Macaca mulatta: one gene and its partners. The protein of the gene in region 2 purifies or fractionates together with the protein of the main gene of each other region. This does not show direct contact. Links are inferred from orthologs where the notes say so. Each region holds a gene or a part of one and is shown on either strand. Other genes may lie near its edges.

Region 1 (4,836 bases), on a different chromosome or scaffold from region 2:
TTTCAGAGTGGCGGCTGAAGATAATATGATTGTATTTTTTTTTTTTTTGCAGATTATACCCAACAAGCAACCCAAAGGTGAGTGCTGTTTTTGGGCTTCCAGAGTTTGTAGAGGGGAAGGGTGGTCAAGCTGTGTTTTCTGATCACGCTGGTTTTCCTTTCATCTAGCTATGGGGCCTACCCCACCCAGCCTGGGCAGGGCTATTCCCAGCAGAGCAGTCAGCCCTACGGACAGCAGAGTTACAGCGGTTACAGCCAGTCCACGGACACTTCAGGCTATGGCCAGAGCAGCTATTCTTCTTACGGCCAGAGCCAGAGCAGTGAGTCTTTCTCAGCAGGTCACCTCTTCCTGCTCTTTCTGAATATTGCTTTTCTTTTTTTTCTTTTTCTTTGGGAGACGGAGTCTCATCCTGTTGCCCAGGCTGGAGTGCAATGGTGCTATCTCAGCTCACTGCAACATCCGCCTCCCGGGTTCAAACAATTCCCCTGCCTCAGCCTCCTGAGTAGCTGGGATTACAGGCACCTGCTACCACGCCCTACTGATTTTTGTATTTTTAGTAGAGATGGGGTTTCACCATGTTCGATAGGCTGGTCTAGAACTCCTGACCTTGTGATCCACCTGCGTCAGTCTCCCAAAGTGCTGGGATTACAGGTGTGAGCCATCACGCCCTGAATGTCCCTTTTCTTAAACCTGAGCAGGACTGAAGTGTTGAAACTCTTCCATATTTCTTTTCCCTAAATGAGTGTATAATTCTTAAAACTCTTTGGGATCTGAGTCCTTTACAGGGCATTGTGGCACACCTGTAGTCCCAGCTACTGAGGAGTCTGAGGCAGGAGGATCCCTTGAGTTCAGGAGTTTGGGGCTGCAGTGAGCTATGATAGTGACTGAACAGCGACTGCATTCCAGCCTGGGCAGTGTATTGCGGCCCCATCTCAAAAAACAAAAATGTTTTTTGGTTTGTGATTCTGTTTACATTTGTTTTCTTTGGCTTTTAATTTTTATGACTCTCATTTCCCATCTCAGCATGAAAGAGCATATTTTCTAACGGGAGAACCAGTTTTAGGCCAATTCTTAAATGGAGAAAATGGTTATGCTTGAAACAAATGTATGAAATCATGTGATACATAAGGAGGTGGGATTTGCCCCAAGGTCCTGAAGTGTAACTAAGAAAGGTGGTTGTCCTGTACGTAACTGCATGCACAGCTGCATATCACAGTGCTGTTAACAGGAATCCTTGGGCTTGGGATTAGAGGGTGTTGGGGTTGGCGGGGTTAAATTGGAACTGTCTTAGGATAGAAGTTGGAGCATTAACTTTGGGCTTTGAAAGGAGGGTAACTATCTTTATGAGTTGCAAGATTATGAACAGCTTCTGAAAGGCTGACTTTTTGGGTATAGGTATTAGGTTGTATATGTTTTAACACATTTCTTACATTTTCTTTTTCCTGGTGGCTTTTGTGACTTCTTTTTTCTTGTAGCAGGCTATGGAACTCAGTCAGCTCCCCAGGGATATGGCTCGACTGGCGGCTATGGCAGTAGCCAGAGCTCCCAATCTTCTTATGGGCAGCAGTCCTCCTACCCTGGCTATGGCCAGCAGCCAACTCCCAGCAGCACCTCGGGAAGGTACGGTGGTGTCGATGTCGGGGAAGGCTTGAAAAGAGGGGTGAATTGATGAGGAATGATAAAGGGACCAGCAGCAGTAGGAGCAGTTTAGAGGTGTAATTGGGGTAGGGGAGCCTGTGTTGAGTACAGAGAATGGAATCCACTAAAAGGAAATTGGGGGGGTATGCTGGGATTGTGATTGTGTTTTTTGTTTGTTTTCCTTAGTTACGGTAGCAGTTCTCAGACCAGCAGCTATGGGCAGCCCCCGAGTGGGGGCTACGGCCAGCAGCCTAGCTATGGTGGACAGCAGCAAAGCTATGGACAGCAGCAAAGCTATAATCCCCCTCAGGGCTATGGACAGCAGAACCAGTACAACAGCAGCAGCAGTGGTAGTGGAGGTGGAGGTGAGATGTCCTCAGCTTTGTCTGCAGCCCATTTTCTATAAGGATTTGTATTCTGTTTTAGCCTAAAAGGGTTCCTGTTTTATTTCCTAGCTGTCTTTTTAATTTCTTTTGTACTTCATTGCCTGGCACTTGTCATACCTTTTTGTGCTACTTTACAATTTTTTTTTTTAAACCATCCTTTTTTTTCTCACAGGTAGCTATGGCCAAGATCAATCCTCCATGAGTGGTGGTGGTGGTGGCGGCGGCGGCGGTGGCGGCGGCAGCAGTGGTGGTGGTGGTGGTGGTTATGGCAATCAAGACCAGAGTGGTGGAGGCGGCAGTGGCTACGGACAGCAGGACCGTGGAGGCCGTGGCAGGGGCGGCAGCAGTGGTGGCGGCGGCGGTGGTGGTGGTTACAACCGCAGCAGTGGTGGCTATGAACCCAGAGGTCGTGGAGGTGGCCGTGGAGGCAGAGGTGGCATGGGGTAGGTGTCTCATGAGCCAGGGAGTATCTTTGGTGGGGAGTGTGGAGGATTGCATGAATCTCCCTGAAGCCAGTCCCTAATGCATGGTTTAGTATTCTTGTTGTCTGGGGGATCTGTGAGGGCTTTGATTTGGGGGCAGTGATTTTCTTTTTACATCCCCATTTTATTTTTGTGAGAATTTGGGAGCCTGAACTCCCATCCATACCACCGAATAGAGATTTTGAGTATTGATACTTGTTTCCAAAAAAAAGAAATCATACATAGATTTCCAATACGTATGGATTGGAGTCATTGATATCCTAGGCAAGAAACATGGAAGTGAAGACTTCTTTCTCTGCAAGGGAAACCGATGAACCCACTCCTGGGAAATAGTAGGGAAACTTGGTATGTGTGTTCCCGTGTGTCCTCTAGGGAGTTGGTAATGGTTAACCTGACTTCAGCTTCCAGGAATTGGTTACTCTTCCCGTTTTCTGTAGTCATTTGAATCCACGAGCTTGATTTGCACCAATTTGACCGACATTGATTTTGGGTGTGACTTGGTTTATGGGACCAACTGACTGAAGTGTGCAGACCTTTTGGGCAAAAATATGCTTGACAGTGGTCTCCCACCTAGTTGTTCCACTGTCTGCCTTACCCTGGTTACTTAAAATTCATCAGCTTGTCCAACTGGACCTTCTTTCCTTCCTGCTGAAGTTGATTTGAAGTAAAACCTTAGATTTGATGTTAAAACAGTTGTCAAATCTGTCGGTAAATACGATTTGAAGGACCCTACTCTGTCTCCCTTGAAAAAGGGCAGGAATGTCAGTGTAACTGTTTTTGGAAAAAGTAGATTTTTAAACTGAGTTTGGATATGGTAAGTATGCAGAGGTGGGTGGGGGCAATCTCAAAAACGTACAAAAATGAGGAAAACTCTGTTGTGTGCGTGTGTTTAATGCAAAACTTTAAAAAGAAAAACAACTGTTATGTGACTGTTAACTTGCTCTGCATTTTATGTGCCACAGGTATGAAAGGTGACATTGCAAAATACTCCGCTCTTCTCGCAGTGTAGAAGGGGTGACCCCGGGGGTTGGGGGAGATTAAAAACAGCTCAGTAGTTAGGACAGAGCTTAGCTAAGTTTGTCTTGCTTTAAGGGGAAGTTGCCTTTGGTTTTGACTTTTTATGGAATGGGGTTGGGTCTGCTTGCTGCTTTCAAAGCAAAAACCACAAAAGTGTGTTCAAGGCTACCCCAGCCTGGTGTGAAATGTCTTCTGGGTAAATTGGGGTAGGGTTTTTAAACCAACTACTTGGTTGTCAACCACTTGCGACAAGAGGAAAAAAAAACATCTGCTCCATCGGAAGAACGACCAAGGAAAATGGGTCATTTTTTTCCAGAGGAAATAGATACATAACCTTTTAAAGCAAAATCTTTATAAACTGTGTCTGAGAAATTGCACACGTGTGTGTGACATGCTCAAAGGTCAGACAAGGGGTGGTCAGGAAGGGATGTATTTTAGTAGCCACTTGTATCTTTTTCCAAAAACACCTACCTGTGTTTGGGAAATGTTAAACAAAATCAAAAAACACCCTTTTGTAGCCGTTGGAAGCTTCATGTCCTTTCTTCTAACTTGTCTTCTCCAGCGGAAGTGACCGTGGTGGCTTCAATAAATTTGGTGGTAAGTGAACAGAGTTTCCAAAATTCCCAACTCCCAGCAATGCTTTGTCTGATTGTTCATTTGCAGATGTCTTAGCGTGTTAATTTAAATGTCAAAGGTTTTGAGGTGTCCAGAACCACCTCCATAAAGGGGTAGGGTAGAATGCCACCTGTTGCCTGGTGTGTGCTAACCTGGAGCAGGCAGGGGTAAGATTCAATAGTCGTCTTTTACCAAATGGGTTTGCCCCAGGTTAATAAGAGGGGTTTAGTAGGCCTTGGACAGGGCTGTTGCCACACCTGGCACTTAGTGACCATCATCATGAGAAACTGGAGAGTGCGTGCTGGAACACGTGGTGCCATCTTGACTTTAGGATCCTTTTGATCATTGTGTCCAAGGCTTGTGTGTGTGTGAGAGTGGGAGACAACCTCCAAATGTTTTAATTCTGGAAGAGGGATGTAACATTGCCCTAAGAATGGTGAAGTTGGTATACCTTTATAAAGTACGGAATGGTGTCAATGAATGCAATTCTATGTATATGGACTTAACTCAGATGGGCAAATAGAAACTAGCTCTGGGAAGGAACATGTGCACTACTTCAAGAAAGATTGGAAGCATGTGTGGCTCATGGGAAATAACCAGGTCTTAAACAGCACAAACTGAATTCATGGACCAGGAAGGTCTTAAACAGCACAAACTGAATTCATGGAAAAATGACAAATTTGAGAAGTCTCCCAGTA
Region 2 (4,836 bases):
AGTTAATCCAAACTACAGCAATGAAGTCTTCAAACCACCTTCTGAACAGGGCTGCTGATTGTTACTTTCATTTCTTCTTGTGACCTTGAGCTCCCTTAAAAAAAAAATTTCAGTGGAGAATCACAGCTGGTAATGTACTGCGAGTTCTTGAAGCTACACAAGGTATAGTCTGGCTAAGTTACATGTGGTTTCCATATTAGCTTGTTTGGCAGGGTGACCTACTGCAAAGCAGGCTCAGTTACCCCACCAGTCAACCCCCTGGGAGTTATAATTTCCTCCATATCCATCACTGTTGTAAAAGCCTCCATAGCCACCTAATGAGAGATTTAAAAGAGAGATAAATTAATGAAGTTATCCATCATTAAATACAATCCTTCCCTTAAGTACTTTGCCATCAAGTTTCTATAGTGCTGATCTTAAATGGTTTAATTAGACTTTGAAAAAGATGACTAAACGGAAAAAAACCCTTCCCAAAGCTATGAAGTTACAGATTAACACTACCTCCACCGAATCCTCTGCTGCTACCGTGGCCACCTCCGCCACTGCGGCTGCTGCTTGCACGGCTGCTGCTGAAGCTGGAACTGCTGGCACCACTACTTTGTCGGTAGTCTCTGGCACCAAACCCTCCACTAAATCTGCTACTATAAGAAAAAATTTATGTTGGTTCACATGAAGATGAAATTCCACTGAAGTAACCTAACTCTTACATACGTCCCAATGACCAATTTCTATTTTTCCATTCAAACAATTCCCCATCCAGCCATATTTTCCCCAACATTAGAATGGAGTGTCATCCATTCTAATACAACCCCTTACCAAAGAATCTAGAAAGCCTAAGATGATTCAGCTTTTTAAATACTGTGAAGTTAACGCTGGACATTATGCATGCAGAGGAAACACTAGAAACTGTAAGTCAACACCTATTACACCATATATACCTCACCTCTTAGAACGTCCACGACTGCTACCCTTGTAGTGGTGTTCATAAGCCATGTTTTCTAACCAAGATGGCACTTCTTGTTTAGCTTCAACAAGAAGATCCAACAAATCCTTAGTAATATTTATGTTCCTCTCGTTAAAGAATGAGGTTGCCAGGCCTAAAAGAGTCCCCAAAAAACTATATAAACAAACGTCTTCCACAAAGTAACTTGCTACCCTTCTTACTTTCCTATGCAGAAATATTTAAAATATTACAATCTATTATTTAAACAAGTGCTTTGAGCAAAATCTTTTGTCACTTTCATTGTTAAAAATGTATTTTAGATCCTAGCAAGTTCTTTGCTGCACGCATCACAGCTAAAAACATGAAGTCATCAAGTAATCAAATACTTACCAAGGTTTCCTACACGTCCTGTACGACCAATGCGATGTACGTATTCTTCAATATCACTTGGTAAGTCAAAATTGATAACATGTTTCACATTTGAAATGTCCAGTCCTCTTGCTGCTACCTGAAAAATAACTTATATGAGATATGGCCCACTTAAAAGAAAAATACTTGAACATGCTCAACTGGAATCAAAGAAGGATGTTTTTATACATACTGCTGTAGCCACTAGAATTGGGCTTTTTCCTGAGCGGAACTGGTGAAGGGCCTCTTCCCTATCCCTCTGAGAACGGTCTCCATGGATACTGGTACATGCGTATCCTTCATGGTATAAGAAATCCTCCAGAGAATCTGCACCCTTTTTGGTCTCCACAAACACTAGGGTCAGTGAATCCTTGCCTGTCGTTGAAAAATTATAGGTTTTTGTCACTAATATGGCTTAGTTCTCTTTGCACTTATGTATGCACAATTTTCATGTGTCAATTAAAATACATACATATCTTCTTAAAAATGGGCTTTTAACAGCATGTTTTGAATTGAGGAGGAAAAGTAATAAAGGTAATCCAAATACATTGAAGACATGGGGGGTGTCTCACTATATTGCCCAGGCTGGGAGTAAACTGGCCATTCACAGGTGCAATCATGGCATACTACAGCCTCAGCCTGCCAAGTAGCTGGGACTACATGCACGTACCACTGCACCCAGCCCAAATGGATCACCACCAGAGCAATGAAAATTATTCATAATTTTAGATGGGTGCAGTGGTACGTGCCTGTAGGCCCAGCTACTCTGGAGGCTGAGGCAGGAGGATTGTCTAAGTCTACGAGTTCTGGGCTGTAGTGTACTATGCCTATCAGGTGTCCACACTAAGTTTGGGATCAACATGATAACCTCCCGGAAGCAAGGGAGCACCAGGTTGTCTAAGGAGGGGTGAACCAGCCCAGGTCAGAAACAGAGCAGGTCAAATACTCCCATGCTGATCAGTAATGGGATCGCGCCTGTGAATAACCCCTGCACTCCAGCCTGGGCAACACAGAGAAACCCCCATCTCTAAAAAAAAAATAAAAAATTCATAATGCCGGCTGGGCGCGGTGGCTCACGAGGCCTGTAATCCCAGCACTTTGGGAGCCCGAGACGGGCAGATCACGAGGTCAGGAGATCGAGACCATCCTGGCTAACATGGTGAAACCCCATCTCTACTAAAAATACAAAAAATTAGCCGGGTGCGGTAGCAGGCGCCTGTAGTCCCAGCTACATGGGAGCATGGGAGGCTGAAGCAGGAGAATGGCGTGAACCCAGGAGGCGGAGCTTGCAGTGAGCCGAGATTGCACCACTGCACTCCAGCCTGGGCAACAGAGCGAGACTCTGTCTCAAAAAAAAAAAAAAAAATCAAAATGTTACCTGTTGCATTTAGGAGGTCAAGCAGAAATGACCGTTTGTCTGATTCTTCCACCCAAACTACTTTCTGTGTGATGTTTTCAGAGGTAGAGCCAACTCTTCCTACAGCCAAGAAGATATATTCATCTAAGAAATCACGAGCCAGCATCTGAAAGAAAAAAAATATTTTTATTACCTGAGATAAACAAATTTCTAAATAAATAAAATTTGCAGGGCCAGGCACGGTGGCTCAAGCCTGTAATCCCAGCACTTTGGGAGGCTGAGACAGGCAGATCACGAGGTCAGGAGATTGAGACCATCCTGGCTAACACGGTGAAACCCTGTCTCTACTGACAAAAAAAAAAAAAAAAAAAACTAGCCAGGCGCGGTGGCGGGCACCTGTAGTCCCAGCTACCTGGAGGCTGAGGCAGAAGAATGGCGTAAACCCGGGAGGCGGAGCTTGCAGTGAGCTGAGCGCCACTGCACTCCTGGGCGACAGAGCTTCTCAAAAAAATTAAATAAATAAATAAATAAATAAAATTTGCAACATCCAACAGTACCTGTATTTCCTTAGGAAAAGTAGCACTAAACATCATAGTGTGGCGGACACCCTTTGGAGGCATAGTATCTTGTTCAACTATTCTACGAATCTGAGGCTCAAACCCCATATCCAACATCCGATCAGCTTCATCTAACACCAAGTATCTGTCATGTCATGAAAAAAAAAACAAACCTGAGTTTAGAATGAGGAGAAATCAAGATGGTTTTAGTATGGCTGTTAGTATAATTGCAATTGTGTAAGTTACTACAATTATATATTCATTAAGGTGGTGCCTCACACTGCGTAATTTTACAGACCCAGCACAGGATCCTTGCCACTACATAAGTCATTCAAGATTACACAGCCAAATTAGCCCATCCTAGTTGACTGTCCCACGAGCTGATCATTCTAAGCCTCCACCAAGATGTTACTACTGATTTTTCAACATTAAAATTACCATGAACAAGATTTTTGTAAAAGTTAGATGTCTGAAATACATCACTTCTCAATCTTAAAATTTAGACAATGTTGCCACCACCACAAACCTAATGGCCAGTAACTTTAATACTGCATCCCATACATTTAAAAATTAACATAGCCAAGCGCCGATGGCTCATGCCTGTAATCCCAGCACTTTGGGAGGCCAAGGCAGGTGGATCACCTGAGGTTGGAAGTTCGTGACCAGCCTGACCAACACGGAGAAACCCCGTCTCTACTAAAAATACAAAAATTAGCTGGGCGTAGTGGCACATGCCTGTAATCCCAGCTACTTGGGAGGCTGAGGCAGGAGAGCCACTTGAACCCGGGAGGTGAGGTTGCAGTGAGCCGAGATCGTGCCATGGCACTCCAGCCTGGGCAACAAGAGTGAAACTCCGCCAAAAACAAAACAAAACAAAACAAAACAAAAAAACATACTTGCAAAAGTCTAATCCAATCTTTCCTCTTTCCATCATATCCACTAGACGTCCTGGAGTGGCTACTAACAAATGGCATCCACGTTCCAAGTCTCGAATCTGCTGACCAATATCGGCACCACCATAAACCACGCAAGGACGAACTCTAGATCGGTATGAAAACTGTAAGCAAAAAAAGTTATGAACTTCAAGATCAAAATTTTTACATATTCATAAAACATTTAATTAGAATCAATGAAAAAGCTAATAATCACTGGAACTCATACTTACTTTTCTGGCTTCCTCGTAGATCTGTACTGCCAACTCTCTCGTTGGTGCTAATACCAAGGAGATTGGGTACTGTTTGCGGCGCCCATACCTTCCATTTTCCTAAGAAATAAATCAATTTTTAAGTTAACTCTACCTACCCTGTTTGAAAAGTTCATCACAACATAATTCCCTTTTGTAATTTATAGATTACAGATTACACTTGAAAACTGTTTTTCATTCGACTTAAGTCTTAGCATCATTTAGAAAGCCCTCTCAATGGCCTCCTACAAAGTTCTACAATAATTTCCCATTTTATAAAGAAACATCTACCTTCATGGCCCTCAAAGCCTCGCCTGGACCATCTGAATAAATCTGACTCAAGATGGGCAAGAGAAATGCTGCAGTTTTTCCAGACCCTGTTCAAAAA
Region 3 (4,836 bases), on a different chromosome or scaffold from region 2:
GTGCCTCATGTCTGTAAAACCAGCACTCTGGGAGGCTGAGGTGGGTGGACTGCTTGAGCTCAGGAGTTTGGGACCAGCCTGGGGAACATGGCAAAACCCCATCTCTACAAAAAATACAAAAATTAGCCAGGCGTGGTGGTGCATGCCCATAGTCTCAGCTACTCAGAAGGCTGAGGTGGGAGGATTGCTTGAACCCAGCAGAGAGAGACTGCAGTTGGCTAAGATCACGCCACTGCACTCCAGCCTGGGTGACAGAGCGAGACCCTGTCTCAAAAAAGAAAAAGAAAAAGAAAAAAAAAAAAAAAAAAAAAAGTATTCTTGGCATGCAAACCCCGAGTATATGGAGGGCCAACTTTTCATATATGTGGGTACCACAGGCCGACTGTGGGACCTGAGAATGTGTAGACTTTCACATACTGAAGGACAACTGTACCGGCACATGCTGCCACATGGATGACTCTTGAAAACATGCGAAAAAAAAGCCACCAGTTACAAAAGACCATATATTGTATGATTCCATGTATGTAGAATGTCTAGAACAAAAAATCCAGAGACAGAAAACAGATTTGTAGCTGCCTAGGGCTGGGGTATTGGGCGTGTTAGCGTCTGGCCTCCTGGAACTCATGTGGCACGCTGGTTGCTACTGTGGCAGTGTCGGGAGGTAGGGCCTTTAAGAGATTAGGTCGTTAAAAGGAATAAATGCCTATGCCCTTCTCTCAGCAATGGGCTAACTACCCAAACAGTTTAGCCTTTTTCTCTGTTGCACCCTCCTCCCCCTTCTGCCTTTTCTGCCATGCTATCAAGCAGCATGAGGCCCTCACCAGATGCCGCTCCTGATCCAGGACTTCCCAGTCTCCAGAACCATGAGCTAAAGAAACCACTTTATAACTTACCCACTCTCAGGTATTCTGTTCTGGCAACAGAAAACAGATCAAGACAGGGTGACTGCTAAAGGGTAAGGGATTCTCTTGAGGGTGATGAAAATGGTCTGAAATTGACCAGTTACAGAACTCTGCAAATATGTTAAAAACGACTAAATTGTACGGTATGTGAAGTATATCTCATCTAAGCTATTATAAAGACAACCAAATAAACAGAACCAAATTCCAAGGCAGAATTCTGGTATAATTGCATTACCTGTGATTTCTGATCCCATTTCTGCCTAACCCCAAATTGCTTCTGGAACTTTTTCTGCAGTCGAATGCGTTCTCTGGAAAGATAGAAATATGATCTCAGAGCAGACCTTAAAATTAGTGGCTTCCTCAAAAGGCACAGGGTGCCATTCTCTTCAGCTAAAACTTGCCATGATCACTAACTCCATTGAACTATGAAAAATGGGCTTAGAGAAAGGAAGAGACCCAGAGGGTACACATTGGAAAAGCACACTGCCTCCAAATACTGACCAGGCATATTTTACTTCATCTATAGTGCCTGTTCACTGATAGCTCCAATCTGGGGTGTAGTGGCTGCTGGACCACACACCACCAGGAGGCTCCCAGGACCAGCATACATGGGGCTTCCTGGAGCTGTCCCACAGCAGAACTGAGCCAAGGTAAGCTCCAGAGCCTCTTCTTGCCTGCCTGGGTTTCCCTTCAGTGCACACGGCCAGCACAAGGAGTTCAGTCTGCTGCTCATGCTATCTGCCATGAACCAGCCTGAGAACAACAAGCCAAAAGGTGGCTTAACTGGTTGTAGAAGGTATTTTCCTCTTTTTCTTTTTTTGTAATGATGGGGAAGACAACCACCCTCCCGCTTTTGTCCTACTGTTTCCAACTACGGCCAGTCTGGGAAGGGTGTCTTGTTCCAGTAGGATGAAAATCTCACCTCTCTTTTTGTTTGGCACTCTTAGGCAGGATCTGCAGGTTGAACTGCAACATGTTCCGACGATCTTTGTCTCTGCGGAGGTTCCTCTGGGCATCAGCAAGAAATATCCATGTTAGCATCTTGGAGATTTGGCTCACAATAGGCAGAATGAGGAGGAGGTCTTTCGAGTAAGTTTAAGATGCCAAATCCCAAGTTTCACATCTTGCTCTGTGCTTTCACTCTACGGCATCAACAGCTTGGGGGTGTTAGGGGGTAAGTACTTGGACTTTGCTTAGACTTATATTCCCGTGACATATTTTTCATTGAAGTATGTTTACTGGGTCTTTTTAGAGTTTCTGAGTTTGCCTCTTTAAGTAATAATACGCAACCTGACTGGACCGTCTACTTAATAAAGTCTGCACACACCAATTACCTGTGGCAACAGGCACGGGTGCACCTTCTTATCCAGCACAAATGCTTTTAGCATACAAGTCTGATGTCCTACCTACTGGTAAACAGAAACATAAACTATTTAAATGCATCCTTGAACCTAGTTCAAGTTTACCTTGGTACCTCTTGTTACAGAACAGTGACCTGAGATTCACCTGAGAAGACCTCTAATATGCTTCCCTCTCTCATTAGGAGTCACAAGGTAGCATTTTTAGGCAGGTGATGGCCAACAGTAACAGCCCCAAGATGGTGGTTGCTGGTTCTTGGCTTACCTGGGCAAATCTCATCCGATTCCGCTGGTAGGCCGTCTTCTGTGTGCGCGCTGTATCCACCAGCTGGAAGCTACTTTCATCCTCCTCGTGGAAATAAGCATATTGACTTCCACCACCAAACTGAGAGGAGTACTTATCTGGAGGCAAAAGTGCCGGCATGTAGTAACTACATTCACAGACTTTACCAGATACGCACCAGTCTAAAGCCTTGCTATTTCCAGGGTGGTCTTGAGACCTGTAGCATTGGCTGGAAGCTTGTTAGACACACAGACTCACAGTCCCACCCCATACCCACCGAATCAGAACCAGCATTTTAACAAGATCCCCAGGTGATTCATATGCACATTCAATTTTGAAAAACTCTGGTCTAAAGAACTTTCTAAGCGAAGACTCTGAAGGACTCAAGCTAACCCATTTTACTCTCTGCTTTATTGTGTGAGAATCTGAGGTATTTATTGCTAACCATCATCTCCATTATCAGGGACCCACGGCAGGTATGTCTAATGGATCACGATATACTTTCTTGCCAATCTCAGCCTCAGCTATCCTAACTTAGTTCTCCAGGCAGCCACCTGCAACTATCTGAAATGGCACAGAGAAAAAGCCTTTTTATAGTACCAGGATCTTAAAACCAGGGGTTTTAATTTTTTTTTTTTGAGACAGGGTCTGGCTCTGTCACCAGGCTGCAGTGCAGTGGCATGATCTTGGCTCACTGCAACCTCTGCCTTCTGGGTCCAAGTGATTCTCCTGCATCAATCTCCCGAGTAGCTGAGATTACAGGCGCATGCTACCATGCCCAGCTAATGTTTTCAACAGGTTTTTAAAAGGGCCCCAAATCCCATTTTAATAGGCTAGACCTCTTTAATGAACAGACTAAGTTTTGGGGGCTAGTTCCAAAAATGTGGTTACTGTTAAAGTCCAGACTATATCCCTAAAAGCTATGAATTATTGTTGCCAGTTCCTTCCTATTCCAAAAAAGCTTTCAGATGAAGGTCATTAGAATAAAGAACAACTTTCCCAAGGCCCTGATTGGGGCATTCAGCCGCAGAAACACTTACTTGTGTACCTCTTATCTTGGTACGTGGCTCCTGTCCAGTCTGCAACCTATGAACAACAAGGCAAGACAGAGAATGCACAGGTCAACCAGGCAAGCTTCCACAGACCCGGAAACCCCTGAAAGCGAGAGGACAGCGTGGGAGAGTCTCAGAATTCGTTCACCACACCTAAGTGCCCAGCTCTCCTATCACTACACCCAGAGATGACAACCTTTCTCAGCTGCCATCCCTATAAAAAATTCACGAGTTAAGATTTTGCAACAATAAAATCTAAACAGGGACTCGAGAGCAGCAGCCACAGCTGCAAAGATTCAGACTCCTGCTGACAGGCAAGTACCTTTCCTAGCCGATCTCCTTTGCTGAACGGCTGGTAGGGCATATCCCGAAACTGCTCGGGAACCGCACAGGGACCCCAGCCGGAGGGGTTGTCCTGGATCACGGGTGTCATGAACTTTGCCATCTTCCAAAACCTGAAAAATATAAATCATGTGAGTAGCGGCATGAACGAAGGCCTCAGAGTACAAAAAGCCCTCCATATGAAGTAAGCAGACATAAATGACAGAATTCAAAAAGCAACACGCAAACTGGAACCCTCAACTGTTGAGCGACTACTACTGTTTGTTAATTATACTGTGAATATGTACTTAAAACTGAGAAGAATGCAAACAAAACTGATTGACCCTATGTCATTAATTTCACGAAACTCTTTCACTGTAACAGCTTTAAAAGGAGGCAGCACCTTGTGCTTGACAGAGTGTCATATTGATTGGTAGTTTTTCTTTTTTTGTGTTACACAATGTAAGTGTTTGAAAAAATTCAATGGTGTCACAGATTTGATAAAATGTACTGATGTTTTTTCAAATATAGTAACCTTGTTTTGGTTCTGAGATATACGTTCACCAATTCATACAAACTCAACTTCCCTAAGACTTAGTAGTCTTTTTCTTTGTTTTTGGAGACAGAGTCTCACTTTGTCACCCATGCTGGAGTGCAGTGGCATGCAACCTCCGCTTCCTGGGTTCAAGTGATTCTCCTGCCTCAGCCTCCTGAGTAGCTGGGATTACAGGCAAGCACTGCCTGGCTATTTTTTGTGCTTTTAGTAGAGATGGGGTTTCACCATGTTGTCCAGGTTGGTCTTGAACTCCTGACCTCAAATGATCCGCCCACCTCGGCCTCCCAAAGTGCTGGGATTACAGGCGTGAGCCACCACGTCCAGCCGCCTTAGTCTTTTTCATCTGCAAAATAAACAAGATCCT

What was found.
Region 1: the proteins of DDX3X (region 2) and FUS purify together in Homo sapiens (affinity purification with mass spectrometry; 3 studies listed by BioGRID and IntAct, with this or other methods). This does not show direct contact. The link is inferred for Macaca mulatta from reciprocal best matches to the Homo sapiens genes DDX3X and FUS.
Region 3: the proteins of DDX3X (region 2) and EIF3D fractionate together in Homo sapiens (co-fractionation; 3 studies listed by BioGRID and IntAct, with this or other methods). This does not show direct contact. The link is inferred for Macaca mulatta from reciprocal best matches to the Homo sapiens genes DDX3X and EIF3D.

The regions. Positions count from the first base shown.
Region 1 is NC_133425.1:29,826,531-29,831,366, forward strand, and holds part of FUS (RNA-binding protein FUS), read left to right. Parts: intron 1-52; coding exon 53-77; intron 78-167; coding exon 168-337; intron 338-1,475; coding exon of another isoform or gene 1,476-1,478; coding exon 1,479-1,620; intron 1,621-1,824; coding exon 1,825-2,010; intron 2,011-2,196; coding exon of another isoform or gene 2,197-2,200; coding exon 2,201-2,467; intron 2,468-4,085; coding exon 4,086-4,120; intron 4,121-4,836. UniProt on the Homo sapiens protein: DNA/RNA-binding protein that plays a role in various cellular processes such as transcription regulation, RNA splicing, RNA transport, DNA repair and damage response. Binds to ssRNA containing the consensus sequence 5'-AGGUAA-3'.
Region 2 is NC_133426.1:41,243,587-41,248,422, reverse strand, and holds part of DDX3X (ATP-dependent RNA helicase DDX3X), read right to left. Parts: intron 4,826-4,836; coding exon 4,740-4,825; intron 4,530-4,739; coding exon 4,431-4,529; intron 4,323-4,430; coding exon 4,162-4,322; intron 3,411-4,161; coding exon 3,266-3,410; intron 2,875-3,265; coding exon 2,730-2,874; intron 1,727-2,729; coding exon 1,545-1,726; intron 1,452-1,544; coding exon 1,334-1,451; intron 1,098-1,333; coding exon 944-1,097; intron 642-943; coding exon 502-641; intron 315-501; coding exon 235-314; 3' UTR 1-234. UniProt on the Homo sapiens protein: Multifunctional ATP-dependent RNA helicase. The ATPase activity can be stimulated by various ribo-and deoxynucleic acids indicative for a relaxed substrate specificity.
Region 3 is NC_133415.1:15,017,538-15,022,373, reverse strand, and holds part of EIF3D (eukaryotic translation initiation factor 3 subunit D), read right to left. Parts: intron 4,816-4,836; exon of another isoform or gene 4,730-4,815; intron 4,051-4,729; 5' UTR 4,041-4,050; coding exon 3,918-4,040; intron 3,630-3,917; coding exon 3,584-3,629; intron 2,663-3,583; coding exon 2,526-2,662; intron 1,911-2,525; coding exon 1,825-1,910; intron 1,211-1,824; coding exon 1,138-1,210; intron 1-1,137. UniProt on the Homo sapiens protein: mRNA cap-binding component of the eukaryotic translation initiation factor 3 (eIF-3) complex, a complex required for several steps in the initiation of protein synthesis of a specialized repertoire of mRNAs.